2 linked regions of the Arabidopsis thaliana genome follow. The protein of the gene in region 1 interacts with the protein of each later gene in a pairwise test. Each region holds a gene or a part of one and is shown on either strand. Other genes may lie near its edges.

Region 1 (4,477 bases):
AATTCTTTGTTCTAACTAGATCTTTGCCCTGGAACGTGTCTTCTTAGATTGTGTCTTCTCAGATTCATGCCTCTCTATATATGATTTTTGCAAGCAAATGGCTTTAAAACGCTAAAGGTTGTGACTCTCTCTGTATGAGCAGAAAATTGAAGCACCAGCTGGAGAGAAGCCAGCAGCAGTGAGAACCCACCTAAGGAACATGATCATTGTGCCTGAAATGATTGGAAGCGTCATCGGTGTTTACAATGGAAAGACTTTTAACCAGGTCGAGATCAAACCAGAGATGATTGGACATTACTTGGCTGAGTTTTCAATCTCATATAAGCCTGTTAAGCATGGTAGGCCTGGTGTTGGTGCTACCAATTCCTCCAGATTTATCCCTCTCAAGTGAATAATCAAGCTCTTGTGGAGTTTTGTTATGCTCTAAATTCGAGTCTTTCGTTTCTTTTTCTTTTAGAACATTTTGTCTTTCTTTTTCTCTTCTCTCCTTTAGATTTTGTTCAAACTCTTGTTCATGCCTTCAAATAATACAGAGCTTTTTATTTATAATCTATTAAACTTTGCTCTGTTTATTGAGTATTACTTTAAATTTAGAAAATAATTCAGGATTTATAGATAGATATCTTTCAATTGCATTTTTAAACTGCATATATTAACTTCAAAAAAAAAAAAAAATCAATATCTGGATTGCTTAGTTTTTTTTCTTTGTATTGCAGATCGATGGTTGTATATTGAAAATAAAAAATAACACAATGACCCTATTTATAAATAGAAGAAAATTTCAATTTCTTTTTTGAAATTCACAAACTATATATCTATTTCTATAAGATATCTGTACATAATTTCCTTGTATTTCGAAGATAAATACAAAATGTATGACCAATTTTATCCTAAATCAGTTAATTTTACATTAAACTAATAATTAAGTTTTGATTTTTTGGGGGAAAATTGTGTATTTATATGTTTTAATTATCAGTTTTTATAAGGTAAGAAAAAAAGAAGTTTTTCTATTATAAGGGAAGAAAAATATTTAAATATTGATTCATATGTTATTTTAGAAAGACAATAATGTAATAATTGGTAAATATTTATTGACGTTTCCTTAAACAGAAACACTGTAGGATCTATAATACATCTGTGTATATATATATATATATATATATATATTGGGTGCCAAGTTATGTCTCTTGTCGTATCTCCATAGCAAAACCCTAGTTGCAGTCACTTTCCCGGCTTCTCAAACCAAGAACAATGGTTAGTTTCTTGATCTCCATCTCTTTAAACCTTAATTATTCGATTGTTAGATCCTTGAACCCATCATGGTCTTAAATTTCTCTGTCGAAATCCGTAGGCTGAAGTCGAACCAGATGTTTCCGCAGCTGCTCTTGCGAAGAAGAGAACGTTCAAAAAGTTTTCCTTCAAAGGAGTCGATCTCGATGCTCTTCTTGACATGCCCACTGATGATCTTGTCGAGCTCTTCCCTTCCCGTATAAGAAGAAGGTTTTGATCCCACCAAAAATTTTGGTAGATTATATAACTCTTGTTTTAAATGATTGGTTTTGTTTAATTATGTTGATTATTTTGTAGGATGAGTAGAGGATTAACGAGGAAGCCTATGGCTCTCATCAAGAAATTGCGCAAAGCGGTAAAACTCTAACTTTCCAATATAAATCTCTGTTGTTATTGTGTCATAGTTGTTATTAGTCTGTGATCTCCCAACATAACAATAATTTTAGTTAGGATCTGCCTTTTGATTGGTTGGCTTTGATTATTATAATAACACTAGTCTCTAATTTACTTTAAACCAGAAACTAGATGCACCAGCTGGTGAGAAGCCCGAAGTAGTGAGAACCCATCTAAGGAACATGGTGATTATGCCTGAAATGATTGGAAGCATCATTGGTGTGTACAATGGAAAGACTTTTAACCAAATCGAGATCAAACCGGAGATGATTGGACATTACCTTGCGGAATTCTCAATCACTTACAAACCCGTTAGGCACGGCAAGCCCGGTCATGGTGCTACACACTCCTCTAGGTTTATCCCTCTCAAGTGAAGCCATTTCAAGACTTCATTCTGCTTTTACAATTTCTTTTGTTTTGCTCATCTAAATCTATCTTCTTATCATCATGTCTCTGACACTCTAGTGTCTTTAAACTTTTCTTATTATCGTAAAAAAAATTCTTGGTGATTTTCTCTATAATACTTAATACCATTATGAGTTTGGACTTGAGTTAGTCTTTAATTTTTTTTTTTTTTTATCTCAGTCTTATTTTTTATTTTATTTTATAAGTCTTAAAATTATTTGATTTTGATCCTTATATATTTTAATAATCTACATAATGCGTAAAAATACACTTTTCACTTGAAACGGTTACAAGATAAAATAATAAAATCATATGTAAATGTATTAATAATGAATGTTCACAGGTAAAGAAGGGGTGATGCATATGAGACGTAAAATACAATATAGGTATTGCTAACTTTAAGATTTCTTGTAATGTTTAGTATCAATAGCTTTAAAACAAGTATATATATTAGGTTCGAAAGTAAACTTAAAAGGGGTTATACAACTAAGACGTATAATGAAATATAGGTGAGTTTGTTGAAGACTAACATCACATTCTCACAATCGTGCAGTGAGATCTTCTCACCAAATTTTTTTGACTCTTATGAATCTACATTCTAAGATCTCTCTCATCTCAATATTATTTAAGAAACCATTCTGTAAACAATATATAGCAAAACACAAACTCTCTATACTCACAACATTGTTTAACTCATCTTTCTAAGTTGGTTTCGATTCAAGAATATCACAATGACTAATGTTCGCCTTCCTATTCTCGTCTCCTCGGTCTTGTTCCTTGTCTTTATTTCATCGTCCCTCTTGTTCCCTACACCTAGTTTTGCTGCTAGAGTAAGTCATTCTCTGGTGCAAGAAGAGGTCAAAAAGGTTCCAGAATACACAGAACCTGAGGAGCCGGAAGTTCCAGAAGAGCCGGAGCTGCCCTCACCGGAGGAGCCTGAGATTCCAGAAGAGCCTGAGATTCCAGAAGAGCCTGAGGTTCCTGGAGAACCCGAAGTTCCTGAAGAGCCCGAAGAACCAGAAGAGCCAGAAGGGTCAACATTTGAATTTCCATCATGGTTTCCGAGCTTTCCTATTCCCGGTGTTAATGGCGGTTTGCCAAAGACTGAAAAGACAAAACCTACATCAACAGTTGAAGAGGTTAACGTTTCTAACAAGAAGCCATAGATCAATGGGTAAAGAACGTCAAATGATTATATAAACTATATATGCAATTATAGTTTTGGTTTGTGTTTGGTTAAAGATGAGAGATTACATATGTATTACAGTATTAGAGTCCTCACCATGTCATGATTGAGTCTCTAAACGCTCCTGATATAATCTCGTACTAATTCTCTCTTGTAATATGTATATCTCTTGTGGTACAAAAAATATATATATAACTCTTAAGTAAATCATGTAATGTAAGATATTTAATTAAAGATATAATGTGTCAATTGTCGGTGTATATGACGTTCGTCTTAATGAAACATCAAATTTTATGAGTAGATGTTAGATATAGAACATTGGTTTCATTGACCAATATTGGTTTATTCCTCTAGCTTCAATTATTCTTTTTCTGTAATGCCAAGGTGTGCATCAAGACAAAACAAGAAACATTGTGCTAAAAGCTGGAACCCGTAATTCAGGACTAGTACACAAACACAACTACTCGTTGCATTATTTTCTTCTCAAGTAGTTTGTCTTCTTCCATTCCAACTTGTTCAATTTCATTTCTTCTTCTCCAAACATTTTATTACAAAAGATCTATTATCTCCCAAACTCTTCTTTTCTTTCAATTCCCATTCCTCAAAACATTCTCTCCTTACAATAAAATCCTCCGGTAATCGTTTCAATGGGCTTCAAACCATTTCTTGAAGGTGGCATCGCCGCAATCATCGCCGGAGCTCTGACTCACCCATTAGACCTCATCAAAGTCCGTATGCAGCTTCAAGGCGAACATTCTTTCTCGCTCGACCAAAACCCTAACCCTAATCTTAGCCTTGATCATAATCTTCCCGTGAAACCTTACCGACCCGTTTTCGCTCTTGACTCTCTCATCGGCAGCATTTCCTTATTACCCTTACACATTCACGCGCCGTCTTCTTCCACGCGCTCCGTCATGACCCCTTTCGCCGTAGGGGCACACATTGTCAAAACCGAAGGACCCGCCGCTCTCTTCTCCGGCGTCTCCGCCACCATCCTCCGTCAGATGCTTTACTCTGCCACCCGTATGGGTATATACGACTTTCTTAAACGAAGGTGGACTGATCAACTCACCGGTAATAATACTAAACTCGATCGGCAACAATATTACTCAAAAAATAATTTTGGTTTTTATTCGGTTTGGTTTGGTTTGATTACACTAAAAGTCGTTTACAGTTCTCGGTTATTGGTTTTAAATAAGAAAA
Region 2 (4,320 bases), on another chromosome or scaffold:
ATACGGTGAAGGCGGTGGATATGGTGGAGGATATGGTGGTGGCGACGACTGAATGAAGAATATTGCATGCATGCAATATTGTGTTTTATACGTAATTATATTATGTTATTAGTATGAGAAAAATAAAATGCTTGAAAAGTAAACTTTCTAAAGTGTGTGAGTACAGGAGATGGAAAAGGAGGAATTCTAATGTGTTTGGTTCGTAATTATATACCCTTCCATATTCGAATTGGATTCTTGGTGTTGTATATGTTTTACTTTTGTACTATAAGTTGTAATTTCCCAATTTAAATGTTATGTACTAATTTTATTTCGTTGTTTCTTCCTTTTTTTCCTTCGGTATATTTCGCTTATAGCAGAAAATAACACACATATATATATATAACGATATAAGTTATAACACAAAATATGATTGTATGTATATCAAACAACTGAAAGAGCAAACACGATTTGGAGACTCGTCGTTCAGCTAAACAAAAAAGACATCAACCAAAAACAAAGTTTATAGCATGAAGCCATGAACACAATTCAGCTCTGTTTTGTTTCTTTTTTGAAGAATTCGATTTGCATTTTTAGGTTTTGTCATGTGTTACGTTCAATATCTTAGATAAAAACATATATGTAAAATAAAAAATGAAAAACGAACCAATCCGTGATATACATAATTTAGATATGTATTATCTGCATAAGAACTTCTGATAACTTAAGAACACCTCTTACAATTTGGGTATAAACTTTAAACTCAAGCATTAGATTTAGAAGTCGTTTACATAATTTAACTAAGCAAACGTGTTTGTATTAGATCCAAAGAATTAAACAGCATGATCGTTATTATAATTAGAACTATAACTTACTATTAGTTGAATCCAGTGACTAAAATAACCTTATTTTAATTTACACCTTTCTTAGTTAAAAAAATAAACCAAACACTGATTCAAAATAGAAAAATAACTGTCAGAGAAGAATTTTCTCTTTAATGACTTTTGTATTCTATATGAGGATTGAACATTATGGGTTATTCATAGCAATAAAAACATAACCAATGTGAATGTATAGTTTCGATCTTTCTCGAACAATGATTTAAGCACGTGTCGTAGGTTGAATAAATAATTCATAGTGGAACCATAGATTAGTGACCTGTACGAGTGATTGGTTTCAGCGTGCAGAATCCACTACCTCGCTTCCACTCAATTTAGTGGACCGTCGACTCTGGTGGGTTTGGTAGCAGCAGAAGATAATGCACACATTACCTGAATCCACATTTTTAAAATATGCACTTGCCAGTTCTATTATCCTGAAAGTTTCGTTAGAATAAAACGCAAGCGAAATAATAATCCTATCAAGCATTTTAGATAATCACTCATTCACTCTATGACTTGTCATTGCTGATTTGCGGTTTGATGCAAAACTGTGGAATATAATGATTTAAAGAAATTTATAATGCGAAAACCTTTTCATCGTCGTGGTAGAAGTGAAACCTCAATTCTTTTTACAAACGCTTTTTTTTTACCTCACCGGTGGTTTAAGAAAACCTTGCGAAATAACATGGATTAAGCTAAGATTTGTTCTTACCTAATTTGTAATTTATCACATTCACACCCCGGATTACAATTTCATTTTGCATATTAATATTGCCAATCAAAACATACATTTAACTAGACTAGAAATGTGTTTAATTAAGTATTCGTAGTTCTCTTATCTAAGGTAGTATGCGTAAACTATAGGGTGAATTTAATATATATGCTCAGAAGAATGAAAAATAAAGAATCTGACCATGAAGTTTTGTTATTTAGTTCTCTTTCATCTGATTCACACTAATGCCAAATATACCCTTCGTCACATATACACGTTAACAAGAAAAATATCAAGATAAAACAATTTATATGCAACAATAAAAAATGAGTTTCGGCGGTAACAAGTTTAGGTAGTTAATTATTTGATTAGTATGATAAACATGTCTTTAAAATATAGTAGCAAGGTGAAAGCACTATTCATCTTACGTCGAAAACATGTTTCTCGTGTTAAATCTTGTATTATATAATATGTATTATATAATAACATATTTATTTATTTTGGTAATTTAATTATTATTGTTAATTTATACATTAACAATTTAGTTATCACCCTAACATGTCTTTTAAAGTGGTAAATTGTATGCTACTTATAGATAACTATTATACATAACGAATTATTATTTTTTATATCATGTTAACATTCAGTAACTAATAAATTAACAATTATCTATTCTTATAACATATTAATTTATGGATTAGCTTATTTATTTATCATGCTAATTTGTTTATCACCGGTAATTTATGAGTTATTATATACGTTAAACTTCTTCTTCTTTTTTTCTTCTCTTTCATTTTCAACTCTTTTTCTCTTACAAGGGTAAAAATGTAAAAACATCACTCTCTATCTTACCTATCTAATTAAGAAAAAAACATGCATATATACTTAATTATTCACTCTTCAATGCATATCCATTATAATTTCTCTAAACTATAATAAAACGAAATATGATAAATGTACGTAGGTTAAATTAATTATGGTGATATACACGTAGCGGCTCACACAATCCCAAAGCTTCTATAAATACACGAACATGTTATTCATTTTTGTACCTAATCAAGTTACACTATAAACTCAAACACATCTATCGGCAAGTCTTAACACACGAAGATTTCCAAAATGGCTAAGGCCGAAGGTCTTTTTCTTCTTGGTTTAGTAGTTATTTCAAGTTTAGTTATGTTAACCGAGAGCCGACTCGCAAGAAAAGACTTGGGGATTGACCTAGGTGGGATTGGAATCGGTTTGGGCGTTGGATTGGGGATTGGTCTTGGCGGCGGGTCGGGCTCCGGTGCTGGTGCAGGTTCTGGATCAGGTTCAGGTTCCAGATCATCATCTAGCTCCAGCTCATCATCAAGTTCGAGTTCTAGTGGTTCGGGTGGTTCAGCTGGTTCATCTGCCGGTTCATTTGCTGGCTCTAGAGCTGGATCAGGATCTGGTAACTAAATTATAATAATTACTTTTCGACTTAAAGTGTGAAACAATAAGTATGTTTTATGTTTTTGGTTCGTCGTAGTTAATATCGTATGTACGGAATGGAATGAATAATTTGTTACCGTAAGTTATGTTTTGTTTGAGCGAGTGTGTGTACCTAGCTTACTCTCTCTATTCAAGTCTTTCACCAAAAGTAGAATCTCTTTAGATTTGGAACAGAACATGTTTGATTAATCGTAAATTATTGGTAATTCGAATTTGAGATTAATCTTCAAAAAAAGAAAACAAGTTTCCAAATTTTTTAATAAGTTAATCAACCCATATGACCCACAGGTTATAGTTACCGGATGAATATGGGACCAGATTTTGATATCAAATATTATTCTCCACATTGAATATAACGTTATATCAATCGAGTTAGTGCATCTAATGATGATAGTATGTATTGTAATAGAAACTTCAATCTTTTTAACGATTGTGTTTGTATACGACACGTTTACAAAACAAAGTTAACATGTTCTTTGTAATCCCCAAGTAAATAAATAGAAACGTCTGGATAGTTTATGAATATGTTCAATATAGATGAACCAAACCGAAAACATCAAAGTTTTGATATGAAATTTAGTTAAAATTTGATTTCTTTTATTTTTATTATGTATCCTCACCATTAACAAGCGTCCACTTGAAGAAGAAAACTAAACCGGGAAACTATTGATTACCAACAAAATTATAAAATACAACAAATAAAATAATAACTTTCTTACAACACAATCCAACATACTCGAAGGCTTACACCAACCTCAGTGTAATTTGGCCTCTCTAGGTATGTCGCAAAACCTAACCCAATGATAAAAGCGTTAAACTATCCTAGTTTTTTTTTTCTCTTTTCTTAATTATTGCTGTTATAATTTCAAAATTACGTATAATATTGAAGCAATGCATTATGACTTAAGCAGGATAGCTTCAAGACAAAGTTTCAAACAATGGTTAAATAGTGCTATGTATAAGTAGCTCGACGGATCTTAATTGCTTACTCCATTATTTTTAGAAAAATATAATTTGTAAATCAAACAGGATCTTGCAAATCTTTTCTTGCCTGAATCAAATTTTAGTTTAGAAACAAAGAATCTTCTTTAACAATTAAAAAGAATCTTCCCCATATATATAAAGAATCTTCCCGAATAAACAAAAAATAATAAAGGAAGAAATACGAAATAGCCAAAGTCAACGTTTCAGGTAAAGAGTAAATCCGAAATACCAAATAACGAATTCTTATAAAATAATTCATACAATAACAAAATATATAGAATTATAAAA

Evidence for each region. The genes of interacting proteins can lie anywhere in the genome.
Region 2: the proteins of AT5G09480 (region 1) and AT4G30450 interact in a two-hybrid assay, tested with the Arabidopsis thaliana proteins (one large-scale study listed by BioGRID).

The regions. Positions count from the first base shown.
Region 1 is NC_003076.8:2,949,958-2,954,434, reverse strand, and holds AT5G09480 (hydroxyproline-rich glycoprotein family protein), read left to right. Parts: upstream 1-2,733; 5' UTR 2,734-2,819; coding exon 2,820-3,254; 3' UTR 3,255-3,573; downstream 3,574-4,477. Other genes in the region: AT5G09500 (Ribosomal protein S19 family protein), read left to right, coding at 143-391; AT5G09490 (Ribosomal protein S19 family protein), read left to right, coding at 1,252-1,254, 1,352-1,500, 1,588-1,645, 1,809-2,057; DIC3 (dicarboxylate carrier 3), read left to right, coding at 3,922-4,348.
Region 2 is NC_003075.7:14,884,978-14,889,297, reverse strand, and holds AT4G30450 (glycine-rich protein), read left to right. Parts: upstream 1-2,513; 5' UTR 2,514-2,691; coding exon 2,692-3,015; 3' UTR 3,016-3,271; downstream 3,272-4,320. Other genes in the region: AT4G30460 (glycine-rich protein), read left to right, coding at 1-52.